Stegostoma tigrinum: one gene and its partner. The protein of the gene in region 2 purifies or fractionates together with the protein of the main gene of each other region. This does not show direct contact. Links are inferred from orthologs where the notes say so. Each region holds a gene or a part of one and is shown on either strand. Other genes may lie near its edges.

Region 1 (8,047 bases), on a different chromosome or scaffold from region 2:
AGCTGAGCCAGCAATCACTTATGGTCATGTGCTGCTCCACTGCATGCTTGAAATCCAAAGACATCAGACAGTGACACATGCCCATGTCTCCAAAATTGAAATCTATCCTTTCAGCAAATGCAAGTGATTCAAAGCCAACACTTTCCTGATGTTAAATCAACATCAAGGCTCAGAGTTGTCCAGGATTATTCTAACAGGTGCCATACCATCACAGCCGTGCACCTGTGAACTACACACTGGATGAGGATGGGGATGAGCGAGAGCAAGAGAGACTTCAATGACACTGCAAAGGTGTGACATAAATCCAAACAACAAACAAATTTCAAATCTACAATTAAGATGAAGGAATAAAGATACTCCTTCCAACAAAAGTCTTTGTTACAGGCTTTATGTAAAGGATGTGGCAACAGTGGGGGTGGTTGAATAGAAGGATGAGAAAATGATAAGAGATAATGGATTCTCCAGCATCTGCAGATCCCATGATAAAGTGTGAAGCTGGATGAACACAGCAAGCCATGCAGCATCTCAGGGGCACAAAAGCTGACGTTTCAGGCCCGAAACATCAGCTTTTGTGCTCTTGAGATGCTGCTTGGCCTGCTGTGTTCATCCAGCCTCACACTTTATTATCTGGGAAAATGATGTTTGGTTGGGGAGGGGGTGAGCAGGAGTGAGGAGAGCAGGGCACATGTGCAAGGGATGCCAGGGTACCTACAGAAGATAAACAGGGGGGGCAACAGGGAGCCGACAGAGGGGTAACATGAGAGACTGTAGATGATCAGGGAGACATACACAGAAACAACAGGGGATCAGAGGCATATGGGGGGGCAGGGTAGGGGATGCCAAGAGCAAGGGAACTGGGGATCGGTGGGCCAGGATTCATACGAAAGTGTTGGGGGGAGGGAGGAGAGAAGTGGAAGGCTAGGAGAAGCAGAGAGTACCCGGGGGCGGGGGGTCGTCACCCTCCGACCCCTTTCCCCGCTTCTTCATCACCACCACCATCCCCATCACTCGGGCCCACCCCAAGCCACTCACTCACCCCGTGTGCCGGCTCCGACTCCCCTAAAGCCGCTCTCCGCCTCTCATCGCCAGGGGATCGCCTGCGCTGCGTCGCCGCACCAACCTCACTCGGACAGGGGGCAGGCTTTTTGTGTTCTCTCTCTCTCCCCCGTCCGCAACGTAAACCCGGTGCAAACGTTGGCAGCGGTGGGGCCTGGGGGAACGCTGCAGGGATTCCTATTTACACCTGGCTAGAGTGGATGGTGGAAACCATCGTGCGACAGCCCGAAGCCGGCGGGACGACGCGACACTAAGAGCCGCAGCCTCAATCTCCATCCCGCCCCAGGAGCCTCGCCTTTGCCCAGGCCATAAGCAGGGGGCGGGGAATATCACTTGACAACGGAAATGACGCACGGCCCATCGCCGGGACCTCCCGCGCCCTGCCTTGATGAACAGACGGCAAGCAGCAGCTCACAGCCAATCGCAAACCGATACTCATACTGGGGCGGGGCTAGCCTGGATGCCAGCTCATTCCGTCGCTGTCCATCATCGCGATTGACAGCCCTATCTACCAATCAGAGCCGACACTGAAGAAAGGCACGCGGCCTCCCTGGAAGAGGTGTCCAGTGCTTTCACAACATAATTTTGCAGCATGAACCATAATCGTTAGGTTTTAAATCTTAAATGCATTCATTTATCTGCAGGTGCAACATTTCAAAGTTTAAAACCATCGCATCCATCACCCTTGGGACCTTGCTGATAGTGCAAGCAGGTTGTTTCAGCAAGGTGGAAGATGTCATTTGACAGTAGTGCTTTCAGTGGAACCTGAATGTTGACCGAATTAATTGCACCTCTTACTGCATTAGACTCTGCAGCTGCAAGAGTTATTGTTGGGGGCAAAAAAAAATTCGGCTGCATCAGCAGAACTTTGGAAGTTTTGCAGCGTGAGCCTATCAGCTTGCCGCTCTGCTTTAAATCAAAGTCAGGACCTTTAATCCAGCATAATTTAATTTTTATTGCCCGGATCACTGACATTGCCAACTGATTAAAAACATGTGCCTTCGCAAGTGCCACTTCTCGACTTTACTTGTGATTAAACAACGACAGCCAAGTTACTATATGTTTGTGAAACACTGCTTTTACAATGGAGGCGACTTCTCGACAACCTGTCACAGAAAAATATCTTCCAGAGGAACAGGAAGAGCCCACACATAGTATTACTTGACAAATCCACGTACATCCCAAACCTGAGGAACGGTAACTCGACCCGAAACGTTAACTCTGATTTCTCTCCAGAGATGCTGCCAGACAGAGATTTTACAGCAATTTCTATTTTTGTCTCTACATCCCAATCCCCCTTTTCAAAAAAAAAGTAAAGCACCGTAAATTTTCTTGACATCATAACTGAAATCAAATCCTTGCGTTAACCAGCAAGTGCTGGGAGAGGATAAAATTGAAAACACATGGCTTTGATCGACACTAGACCAGAAAGTCAGTATTTCCAATTACTCCTGAGAGCTCAAAAAGCCTTGCAATTTATAAATAAATCATGCCGAATTTAGAGACGGCGGTGATATTTACAGACTAGTCAAATTTCCCCCCTCCCACACAGCCCGATGTAAGGTGAAACAGTTTTGCTGTACGTACCATCGCAGTCTCTCCTCCCGCCAGCTATATTAGGTACAAAACTCAGTCAAATCTTGAATAGCCGTTCCAATCAGACTGCTGTCGCTGACCCCCGCATTCTGAAGTAGCTGGAAGGTCGCAGAGCTATTTTTTTCGTCGAATGAATCCGATCACATTTCCTCTCTTTAAAAAAAAGGTCCTCCCCTTCCCTGCTGCTACAATTGCTTCCTTCTCCCAGGTAGGTGCAAAGCGCAGACACAGACAGGCAGGTTAGAGCCAACCAACAGACCATTTGCCCTCTGAGCAAATTAATAACTGTGCGCAGCTCCAGCCAATCCAATCACCTCTGATATCATAAACCGTGCCCTCTTGCTGAAGCAGATATATCAAATCTCTCGCCATTCGATAAAACAGGAGTTTAATAAAGGAAACATGTTTGGACTTTAAAACAGGCTGTGACAGCATGAAGATACAGCCGAGAGGAGAGGTGTGCCAACGCATTTAACAGCAAAACGTCAAAAGTGCAGATTCGTCTCAAATGTGAATAGCGGTTAAAAAAAAACTGGGAGGACTGAGTCACAAATGGTTGTGACTATCAATCATTCTTGAGAAGGCGCTGCCATTAGCCAAACTGAGGTGCGTGCAGTAACTGAAAAGGAATCTGCATTTATATGTTACCCTTAATATGGTCAAATATACCCAGGTGCTTCACAGGAGTGTTATCAGTTAAAATTGAGAGCTGAACGGACTCGGTGGGCCAAATGGCCTCAATTCTGTGACATAATCCTGTTCCGATCCTATGATTGGCCTGCAATAAGGACAGGCAACAAAAAGCTTCACAGACCAGACCAACTACAGGGGTCAACTTTATGCAGCATCTAAATAGAGGAGAGAGAGGTTGAGAGTCGTGTTCAGAGTATGGGTAGAGGCAGCTGAAGGTATGGCCATCACTGGCGACTTGATAGAACATGTAAGGGGCTAACATTTGAGGGAAGTTATAAGCTGGAAGCAGGACAGAATAAAAGCAACTTTTAAATAGTCCTTTAAATACAGGAGATAACAGTAAAGCACGAAAAGAAACAGGACTCAGCATTTCAGCCTCTTAAACCTGCAATGAATGTCATTAAATTAGATCAAGCTCATCTCAGAATCACAGCATTATTATAGTGGAAAATGAAGCTGTTTGGCCCATTGTGTCTGTACTGGTTCTATTACCAAATGCCAATCTGCTGCCTTTTCTGTAGCTCTGTACACCATTTCTATCCAAATTACCATCCACTGCCCTTGTGAATGCCTCAATTTGTATTTTTGCTGAATTTAACTTCCTTACACATGCTTATTGAATAAAAATAACCACTGTTAACATTTTAAATTCACATCATGTCGGTACTGTCAATCTGATAGAAATGTTAGATTTTTCAGTACCCTTTCGGGTTCTGAAGACGGGTCACTGGACCTGAAACATTAACTTTGCTTTCTTTCCACAGATGCTGCCAGATCTCCTGAGATTTTTCAGCAACTTCTGCTTTCTGAATACTCTGCTCCCCACCATTTCCAAGATAAATATATCCTTCCTGAAATAATATTTGGAGTACACAAGGCACTTCTTAAGACCTTTCCTGCTGCATATGCTTTTTAACATCTGACAAAAGGTCATTGTGGGGAAGTCTGAGCTTGTGCACTTTGGCAGGAAGAACAGAGGAACAGAGGAGCTGAATATTACTTAAATGGAAAAGGGCTACAGAAGGCTGCAGCACAGAGAGATTTTGAAGTCCGCATGCATAAATCTCAAAAAGCTGACGGGGAAGGCAACTGGAATGTTGGCTTTTATTTCAAAGACAATGGAGTTCAAAATATGGAAGTCTTGCTAAAACTGTTCAGGGCTCTAGTTAGGCCACACCTGCAATATTGTGAACAGTTTTGGACCCCACATCTAAGGAATGCTGCACTCTGTAGCTTTGAGTGATTTATGCAGAAGGACTTTCAAATCCCTCTGTGCTACAGCTTTTGGCAGCCTTTTTCCATTTAAATCATATTCAGCTCCTCTATTCCTCTGTTCTTCCTGCCAAAGTACATAAAATCACATTTCCCCATGCTGACCTTTGGTCAGAAGATATTAAAGATACACCAGCATTGGATGCAGTCTGGAGAAGACTCTCTAAGTTGATTCTGGATATGAAGGGATTGTCTTGTGAGGAGATTTTGAGTAGGTTTGTAGTCCTTGGCATTTAGAAGAATGAGAGGTGTCCTTATTGAAACATGCAAGGTTCTTCGGCAACTTGTCAGGGTGGATGCAAAGAGATTGTTTTCCTTGTGGGAGATTCAAGGATCAGATGGCGAAATCTCAGGGTAAAGGGTTGCCTGGTTATGACAGAGATGAGGAGGAAGTTTTTCTCTCGGAGAATAGTGAACATGTGGAATTCTTTGTTGCAGAGGTCTGTAGAGTCTGGGTCACTCAGTATATTCATGGCTGAGAAAGGCAGACCTTTAAGCAGTAAGTGAATCATGGGTTAAGGGAAAAAGGCAGGAAAGTGGAACTGATGGTTGTCCAATCAGCCATGGTCTCACTGAATGGTGGATCAGATGCAGAAGGCCAAATGGCTTGCTTCTGCTTCTATGCCTTGTGGTCTAATGTACCTCTGTTTCTCTCTCTACAGGTTCTAACAGACCTGCTGAGTAGAACATAGAAGATAGGAGCAGCAGTCGGCCATTCTACCCCTCAAGTATGCTCTGCCATTCATTATGATCATAGCTGATCATGAGCTCAACACCCTAATCCCACCTTCCTACTCAATATCCATTGACCCCTTCGGCCACAAGAGCCATTTCTACATCCTTCTTGAAAACACATAATTTTTTCAGCCTCAATCACAGGCTCACCACTCTCTGAGTTTAGAAATTTCTCCTTAACAATCTTCCAATATCCATAAACTATGACCCCTGCTTCTGGACCACCCCCCCCCCCCCCCCCCCCACCATAAGAGACATCCTTCCTGTTCTAGTCTGTCTAGTACTGTTAGAATTTTATGGGTTTCTGTGAATATCCAACCTCATTAAGGGGAGGTGATGGCTTAGTGGTGTTATCACCAAGCTATTAAACTCATGTTCTGGGTACCTGGGTCTGAGTGAAACCGTTGTCATTTGTTGGACAACCATTTGATTCAATAATGTCGTTCAGGGAAACAAATCTGTCATCTTCACCTGGTCTGGCTTGTGTGTGACTTCAGCAGCATAGTTGACTCTCAGCTGCCCTCTGAAATGGCCTAGTAAGCCACTCCGTTCTATCAAACACAGCAACGTCTCAACAAAGAAATAAAATTGGATGGACAACCTGACATCAACCTAGACATGAGAAAAGACAACAGCAGAAACAGGATTTGAGCCCAAAAGGTCCTCCTTACTAACATCCTGGGGCTAGTGCCAAAATTGGGAAAACTGCAACAGCCTAATATATCCATACTCATGGACTCATAACTTACAATGTCCCTGACACCACCATTACCATCCATGGATATGCCCTGTCCCACTTGTAGGACAGACCCCAGCAGAGATGGCAGCACAGTGGGATATAGTCGGAAGGGAGTTGCCCTGGAGTTCTCAACAAGTCTCATAGCTTCAGGTTAAACATGGATAAGGAAACCTCCTGCTGATATCATGTATCACTTGATTTGATTTGATTTATTGCATTCACTGTACCTCAGGACAGTGAAAAGTTTTGTTTTGCAAGCAGTACAGACAGGTCATAGCAAACAAGGACATATAGATCATAGGTTGCTTAGACAGAGCGAGACATACAGGTTACGACTGCCTCCTTTGGCTGGTGAATCAGTGTTTCTCCATGTTGAACAATTCATGGAGGAAGCACCGAGGGCACAAAATATACTCTGGGTGAGGAATTCCAATGTCTTCCACAGAATGTGGCTCTACTGATCAAGCTGTATGGGTCCTAAAGGACATAGCTGTTAGTCTGGGTCTGTGGCAGGTGGTGAGGGAGCCAGGAGGGACAAACGTACTTGATCTCATCCTCACAAATCTGCTGGCTGCAGATGTATCTGTCCATGAGCATATCGGTGAGTGACCACCACACAGTCCCCGTGGAGACAAAGTCCTACCATACCACTGAGATTATCCTCCATAATGCCATTAGGGAGGCAATTCCAGGATTTTGAACCAGCAGCAGTGAAGGAACTGCATCATATTTCCAAGTCAGGATGTTGAGTGACTTGGAGGTTGCAGCTTTTTAAGATGGCAGCTCACCATCATCTTCTCAAGGACAACTAGGGATAGGCAATAAATGCCAGTGTGCCCACATTCCATAAGTGAATATAAAAAAATCGTCTGAACTCCAGTGAATACAATCCTAACTTAATTGCTCCTCATGTGTCAGTCCTGCCATCCCAGGAATCAACTTCGTAAACCTTCAGTGCATACTGTCGAAAGCAAGAATCTCCTTCCTCAGATAAGGAGACCAAAACTGCACATAATATTCCAGGTGTGGCCTTGCCAAAGCCCTGTATAATTGCTAACATAGACGTTACCTTCCTTACTGCCTGCACACTTACTTTCAATGACTGATGCAAGAGGACATCCGAGTCTTGTCGAACATTCCCCTCTCTCAATTTATAACCATTCAAATAATAATCTGCCTTCTATTTTTGCTACCAACCTCACATTTATGATACAGCACCTGCCATACATTTGCCCACTCAGTCAGCCTGTCCAAATCACATTGAAACATCTCTGCATCATCTTCACAGTTCACCTTTCCACCCAGCTTTGTCTCATCTGCAAATTTAGAGATATTACATTTAGTTCCATCATCTAAATCATTAACATATATTGTGCATAGGTGGGGTCCTCGTACTGAACCCTGTGCTACCCCACTAGTCACTACCTGTTATTCAGAAAAAGACCCATAAATTCCTATTCTTTCCAGTCTGCTAACCAATTTTCGAACCTCTCAATACACTAATCCCAATTCAATACACCTTACTTTTACACTTTAGTCTCTTATGTGGGATTTTGTCAAAAGTCTTCTGAGAGTCCAAAAGCATCACATCCATTAGCTCCCCATGATAAACTCTGCTAGTTACGTTGTTGAAGAATTCAGGTAGATTTGTTTAGCATTATTTCCCTTTTATAAATCCACACTAACTGTGTCCGATTCTACCACTATCTTATAGGGGCTCTGCTATAAAATCCTTGATAATGCAGTCTTCCCCACAATCCATATTAGACTACTGGTCTTTAATTCCCTGTTTTCTTTCTATCTCTGTTTTAAATAGTGAGATTACATTCACTACCCTCCAGTCTGTAGGAAATGTTCCAGAGTCTAAAGAATCTTGGGATGACCACCAATACATCCATTATTTTTAGGGCCACTTCCTTTAGTACTCTGAAATGTAGATTATCAGCTGTGGATCTG
Region 2 (7,205 bases):
CTTTACATTCTTCTAGGGATTCACTTGATCCCTGCTGTCTATACCTGATGTTTCCTTATTTTTCTTGACCAAAAACTCAATTTCTCCAGTCATCCAGCATTCCCTACGTCTACCCGCCTTGCCCTTCACCCTAACAGGAACATACTGTCTCTGGACCCTTGTTACCTCATTTTTTAATGATTCCCATTTTCGAACAATCCCTTTACCTGCAGACGTCTACCCCCAATCAACAATGAATTCACATCAGCCTTTCCTGGACCACTCTCCTAAACCGTCTAAATCTTTCTGCAACTTCCCCACCTCCTCAGTGCTACCTGCCTGTCCACCTATCTTCGTATCATCGGCAAACTTCGCCAGAAAGCCCCCAGACCCTTCATCCAGATCATTAATATATAAGGCGAACAGCTGCGGCCCCAATACTGAATCCCGCGGGACACCACTCGTCACCAGTTGCCATTCCGAAAAACCTTTTATCCCAACTCTTTGCCTTCTGTCAGACAGCCAACCCTCAATCCATGCCAGTAGCTCACCTTGAACACCATGGGCCCTCACCTTGCTCAGCAGCCTCCTGTGAGGCACCTTATCAAAGGCCTTTTGGAAGTCTAGATAGATAACATCCACTGGGTTTCCCTGGTCTAACATACTTCTTACCTCTTCAAAGAATTCTAACAGGTTTGTCAGGCTGATTAGCCTAACCTCAGTTGTTGGTAAAATTCTAGAGTCCTTGCCTAACACCATCAAATACCAAATGTTCTGCTATTACTTTCTAAATAATTGATACCATTAGTTTTCCAACAATAGATGTTAGGATAATCAGCCTATGGTTACCTGCTTTTTGCATCCCTCCCTTTTTGAATCGTGAGTGTCACCTGGCAGTTTTCCAATCCTGTGGTACTTCATCAGAATCCAGCAATCTGTGCCCTTTTGTGCTTTCTTCTTTTACAGGTGACAACAGCTTCTCCTTATCTACTCTACCTGTGATTTTGAAAACTTAACAATCCCAATTTCTTCAATCTATCTTATCAGTGAAGTTTCTCATTCCTGGAACCATTCTTCTGCTTTCCTTCTACATTCTGTGTTTGTACCTGAATAGATACTTTGGATCTGCCTTCACTCAGGAAGACACAAGCAATCTCCCAGATACAATAGTGGCTGAAGGACCTAGGGTAATGGATGAAGTGAAGGGAATTTATATTTGGCTGGAAATGGTGTTGGACAGACTGTTTGTTCTGAAGGCTGATAAGTCCCCTGGACCTGATGGTCTGCATCCCAGGGTACTTAAGGAGGTGACTCTAGAAATTGTGGACGCGTTGGTAATCATTTTCCAATGTTCAAGAGATTCAGGATCAGTTCCTGGGGATTGGAGAGTGGCTAATGTTGTCCCACTTTTCAGGAAAGGAGGGAGAGAGAAAACAGGGAATTATAAACTGGTTAGCCTGACATCAGTGGTGGGAAAGATGCTGGAGTCAATTATAAAAGATGAAATTACGACTCATTTGGATAGCAGTAACAGGATAGGTCAGAGTCAGCATGGATTTACAAAGGGAAAATCGTGCTTGACCTGCAGTATTGTATGCAGTTTTGGTCTCCAAATTTGAGGAAGGACATTCTTGCTATTGAGGGAGTGCAGCGTATGTTCACGAGGTCAATTCCTGGAATGGCAGGGCTATCATATGTTGAAAGATTGGAGCGACTGGGCTTGTATACACTTGAACTTATAAGGATGAGAGGGGATCTGATTGAGACATATAAGATTATTAAGGGATTGGACACTCTGGAGGCAGGATGCATGTTTCCGCTGATGTGTGAGTCCAGAACCAGAGGACACAGTTTAAAAATAAGGGGTAGGCCATTTAGAACAGAGTTGAGGAAAAACTTCTTCACCCAGAGAGTGGTGGATATATGGAATGCTCTGCCCCAGAAGGCAGTGGAGGCCAAAGTCTCTGGATGCTTTTAAGAAAGAGATGGACAGAGCTCTTAAAGATAGTGGAATCAAGGGTTTTGGGGATAAGGCAGGAACAGGATATTGATTGTGGATGATCAACCATGATCATAATGAATGGTGGCGCTGGCTTGAAGGGCTGAATGGCCTACTCCTGCACCTATTGTCTGTTATTCATGTCTCTCCCTGACCCTTTATAATGTAGCCCCACATTCATGGGGGATTCAGCGGTGACATTGCCATTGACTGCCATGGAGCAATGGTTGTATTCTCTCTGGCCATTGCCTGGATGAGAATATTATTTTCCACTTTACAGCCCAGCCTTGATATTGTCCATGTTTTGCTGCATGGACGTCTTCAGTATCCGAGGAACTGTAAATATATCAAAATGTTGTTTAATTTTCAAAGAATATTTCTTCAACATAGGTTCAATCTTAAAATTATTTGCATTTTTATTTTCAAATCCATCCTTGACTTCTCAAATCCATCTCCCCATCCAGCCCTCACAGTCTCCTCCAGCTGCACAATGTCTGCAGATCTCAAAACTGAACTTACACAACCTCAGTCAGTGATTGGGCCTTCAGAAAGCTGGACATTAAGTCTGGAATTCTATCCCTAAATGTTACCATCTCTCCATCCTCCTTTAAGATGGTCCTCAAAATGATGCTCGCTGACCAAGCTTTGGACATCTGCCTGAATAATTCCTGTGTGTGAATGTTGCTATAAAAGATGCTGTCAAAGTTTCTTTTTTCGAACATCAGGACAGGGACAAGAGTAACAAATTTCAGAGGAAATAATTTATACTGCATGAAAAGGTGTGCTGATTCTTCGACCTCTGGACTTCAATTGGTTGAGGTGTCAAGCATAGACAACAGGGATAACAAAGTGTGGAGCTGGATGAACACAATCGGCCAAGCTGCATCTTAGGAGCGCAAACCTGACCCTTATGCTGTGATAATGGGAACTGCAGATGCTGGAGAATTCCAAGATAATAAAATGTGAGGCTGGATGAACACAGCAGGCCAAGCAGCATCTCAGGAGCACAAAAGCTGACGTTTCGGGCCTAGACCCTTCATCCTCTCTGATGAAGGGTCTAGGCCCGAAACGTCAGCTTTTGTGCTCCTGAGATGCTGCTGGGCCTGCTGTGTTCATCCAGCCTCACATTTTATTATCCTGACCCTTACTTATGCTGTTGTTATTTCAAATAAGGCACAGTGCTTTTTTTTTTCTGCAGGGACAGCTCCCTGTGTTTATACCTACTTTGACAACACTACCAGCCCTCGGAGAGAATCGCAAGGTTTCACAAACCGCACATTATCCTGGTTTGGAAATATATCGGCATTCCTTGACTGTCACTGGGTCAAAGTCCTGGGATGCCCTCCCAGCATTCTGAATGTACCAACAGCACGCAGACTGCAGCAATTCAAGAAGCCAGCAGCTCCTACTCCAAGCTCGCGGCATCCACATCCTGTGGATGCATGAAAACTGATCTGGAGCAAAGATATCGTTCCGTACAAGGCAGGCAGCTTACACCGCGCATTTCTCACACTTTGCATACAGGCAGTTGAGAATAAGTTATAAATATTCGGATGGGACAGGGTGACGAAGCCGGGTTAAATGTGAGGACAGGGCATACAAACAGAGAGATGTGGCACTGAGGCAGAATGCTGGCTGGCTGCAATTCCCAGCTACAGAGGCGGCATCAGTTTTCTTTCTGCTCCTGCCCAGCTGGTTGTTGTTGTTGTTGTTTTGCAGTGTCCCTGCTGGCAGCCTGGGATCTTGCTGTGCCGCCGGCTCTCTCTCACTCCCCCTCCCTCCGCGCATCCCGCTTTCCGGACCTCACTCCAAATAAGGGCATCTACGTCAGTAGGTTCCCGGTGCTGGGCCGCACCAATTCGGCGTGGGTTGGGTGAACTGACAAGACCAAGCGAAACCGGCAGTTCCCGAGGCTCAGGCGGCCGTTGACTGAGAAATGGAGCTGATTTAGACTCCCGCTACTTCTGACCGTCCGGAACCTCTCTGTCCTGTCTCTCTAGTGTTTGTAGTGTCTGCATGGACGACTCTGCCCCCCCTATTCACCTATGCATGATGGAGCCGTCCAGGTGCGTCATTCGCCGCAAATCCAATAAAAGGCGATGGGTCCGAGCCTGACACAGCAAACCCTCCGGAGAGAGACAGCGAACAGCACCGGGACGGAAAGGCAGATAGCGCGGACACAGGCAGCCCGGAGACCCGGCACAATGTTCCAGGCTTTCAGCACCGACTACGACTCCGCTTCCCGCTGCAGCAACTCGCCGTCCATTGGCGATCCGTTCTATTTCTCACCCGCAGACTCCTTCTCCAGCCTGGGCAGCCCGGCCCACGTCTCGGTAAGTGACCGAGAGATTAGATGGGGCTGGGGTAAACACTGATGCTGGGGGGCAGGGGGTGCTGGGGTAAACACTGGAGGGGTAAACACCCACGCTGGGGGGGGTTGGTGGGGTGAACACTGACGGTGGGGGGTGAACACTGACGGCGGGGGGGTTGGTGGGGTTGACGCTGTGGGGGTGGCGGGGTAAACACTGACGCTGGGGGGTTGGTGGGGTAGCGGGGTAGACACTGACGCTGGGGGGTTGGTGGGGTAGCGGGGTAGACACTGACGCTGGGGGGTTGGTGGGGTAGCGGGGTAGACACTGACGCTGGGGGGTTGGTGGGGTAGCGGGGTAGACACTGACGCTGGGGGGTTGGTGGGGTAGCGGGGTAGACACTGACGCTGGGGGGTTGGTGGGGTAGCGGGGTAGACACTGACGCTGGGGGGTTGGTGGGGTAGCGGGGTAGACACTGACGCTGGGGGGTTGGTGGGGTAGCGGGGTAGACACTGACGCTGGGGGGTTGGTGGGGTAGCGGGGTAGACACTGACGCTGGGGGGTTGGTGGGGTAGCGGGGTAGACACTGACGCTGGGGGGTTGGTGGGGTAGCGGGGTAGACACTGACGCTGGGGGGTTGGTGGGGTAGCGGGGTAGACACTGACGCTGGGGGGTTGGTGGGGTAGCGGGGTAGACACTGACGCTGGGGGGTTGGTGGGGTAGCGGGGTAGACACTGACGCTGGGGGGTTGGTGGGGTAGCGGGGTAGACACTGACGCTGGGGGGTTGGTGGGGTAGCGGGGTAGACACTGACGCTGGGGGGGGGGGTTGGCGGGGTAGGGTAGACGCTGACGCTGGGGGGGGGGGTTGGCGGGGTAGGGTAGACGCTGACGCTGGGGGGGGGGTTGGCGGGGTAGGGTAGACGCTGACGCTGGGGGGGGGGGTTGGCGGGGTAGGGTAGACGCTGACGCTGGGGGGGGGGGTTGGCGGGGTAGGGTAGACGCTGACGCTGGGGGGGGGGGTTGGCGGGGTAGGGTAGACGCTGACGCTGGGGGGGGGGGTTGGCGGGGTAGGGTAGACGCTGACGCTGGGGGGGGGGGTTGGCGGGGTAGGGCTGACGCTGGGGGGGGGGGTTGGCGGGGTAGGGTAGACGCTGACGCTGGGGGGGGGTTGGCGGGGTAGGGTAGACGCTGACGCTGGGGGGGGGGTTGGCGGGGTAAACACGGATCGGTGGGGGGTTGGCGGGGTAAACACGGATCGGGGGGGGTATGTATTTTGTCCCGCGGTGGGAGGGCTGTGCTCTCTCTGGTTCCGGGAGAATCCACGTAAAGTGTGACGTCTGGGGCTGGTGATGCGCTCGCTCTGAACCAATCAGCGCCGCTTTATTAATAAACCCCGTGACGTCAACTCCATTCACAAAAACAATCTTGGCCCCGAGGTGGGGAGGGGGGGTATCCCCGCACGGGGGGGGGGGGCGCCTGAGTGTGTGTGTGTGTGTGTGTGTGTGTGTCTCTCTCTCTGTCCCCCTTGGGGGGGGGGGGGTGTGTGTGTGTCTCTCTCTCTCTCTGTCCCCCTTGGGGGGGGGGGGGTGTGTGTGTGTGTCTCTCTCTCTGTCCCCCTTGGGGGGGGGGTGTGTGTGTGTGTGTCTCTCTCTCTGTCCCCCTTGGGGGGGGGGTGTGTGTGTGTGTGTCTCTCTCTCTGTCCCCCTTGGGGGGGGGGGTGTGTGTGTGTGTCTCTCTCTCTGTCCCCCTTGGGGGGGGGGTGTGTGTGTGTGTGTGTCTCTCTCTCTGTCCCCCTTGGGGGGGGGGGTGTGTGTGTGTGTGTCTCTCTCTCTGTCCCCCTTGGGGGGGGGGGGGGTGTGTGTGTGTCTCTCTCTCTCTGTCCCCCTTGGGGGGGGGGGGTGTGTGTGTGTCTCTCTCTCTCTCTGTCCCCCTTGGGGGGGGGGGGGTGTGTGTGTGTCTCTCTCTCTCTCTGTCCCCCTTGGGGGGGGGGGTGTGTGTGTGTGTGTCTCTCTCTCTGTCCCCCTTGGGGGGGGGGGTGTGTGTGTGTCTCTCTCTCTCTCTGTCCCCCTTGGGGGGGGGGGGTGTGTGTGTGTGTCTCTCTCTCTCTGTCGCCCTTGGGGGGGGGGGGTGTGTGTGTGTGTCTCTCTCTCTCTGTCGCCCTTGGGGGGGGGGGGGGTGTGTGTGTGTCTCTCTCTCTCTGTCCCCCTGGGGGGGGGTGAAGTCTGTCTGTGTCCCGGCCTCTGTCTCATGTGTTTCTCTTTCTCTCTGCAGGACCCTGGCTCCGAGCTCGCCCCCAGTCTGACGGCCCTGAGCCGCCGGCCCGAGCTGCAGTGGATGGTGCAGCCCACCCTGAGCCCCCGGCCCAGGCACGAGTACAGCCTCGGAGCCCCGTACAGGGCACGGGCCGCCAGCAGCAAATGCCCCGGCCGCAGGGGCAAGACTGACCAGGTGAGGCCGGCTCCAAGGAGGGGGCTTTGCGGGGCGGGAAGCGTGGTACTGCCCCTGACGTGGGGGGGCACTGTACCTGCCGTTCAGCTGGGGGTGGGGGGGGGGGGGCAATCCGGAGGGATGCAGGCTCGGCTGGAGCGGTGGGGGATAATGTTTGCTGCGGTCTATGAAACAGGGTCTCACCGCCCGCCCCCTCTCTCTCTCTCTCTCTCTCTCCCCACTTTGCAGCTGAGCCCCGAGGATGAGGAGAAGCGCAAGGTCCGGAGGGAGCGGAACAAACTGGCTGCAGCTAAATGCCGGAACCGGAGGAGGGAGCTGACCGACAGCCTGCAGACGGTGAGTGCGGCTCCGGGACCGTGGGGGGGGGGGGGTAGTGCCGGTTATGGGGGTGGGGGGAGTCGAATCATAGAATCCCAACGGTGCGGAAAGTGGCCGTTCGGCCCATCGAGCCTGTGCTGACCCAGACGCC

Evidence for each region. The genes of interacting proteins can lie anywhere in the genome.
Region 1: the proteins of protein c-Fos-like (region 2) and stk40 purify together in Homo sapiens (affinity purification with mass spectrometry; 3 studies listed by BioGRID and IntAct, counting the BioPlex papers as one, with this or other methods). This does not show direct contact. The link is inferred for Stegostoma tigrinum from reciprocal best matches to the Homo sapiens genes FOS and STK40.

The regions. Positions count from the first base shown.
Region 1 is NC_081377.1:7,207,405-7,215,451, forward strand, and holds the start of stk40 (serine/threonine-protein kinase 40), read right to left. Parts: upstream 3,015-8,047; 5' UTR 2,647-3,014; coding exon 2,644-2,646; intron 1,384-2,643; exon of another isoform or gene 1,037-1,383; intron 1-1,036. UniProt on the Homo sapiens protein: May be a negative regulator of NF-kappa-B and p53-mediated gene transcription.
Region 2 is NC_081363.1:1,205,969-1,213,173, reverse strand, and holds the start of protein c-Fos-like, read left to right. Parts: upstream 1-4,110; 5' UTR 4,111-4,182; coding exon 4,183-4,311; intron 4,312-6,559; coding exon 6,560-6,736; intron 6,737-6,964; coding exon 6,965-7,072; intron 7,073-7,205. UniProt on the Homo sapiens protein: Nuclear phosphoprotein which forms a tight but non-covalently linked complex with the JUN/AP-1 transcription factor. In the heterodimer, FOS and JUN/AP-1 basic regions each seems to interact with symmetrical DNA half sites.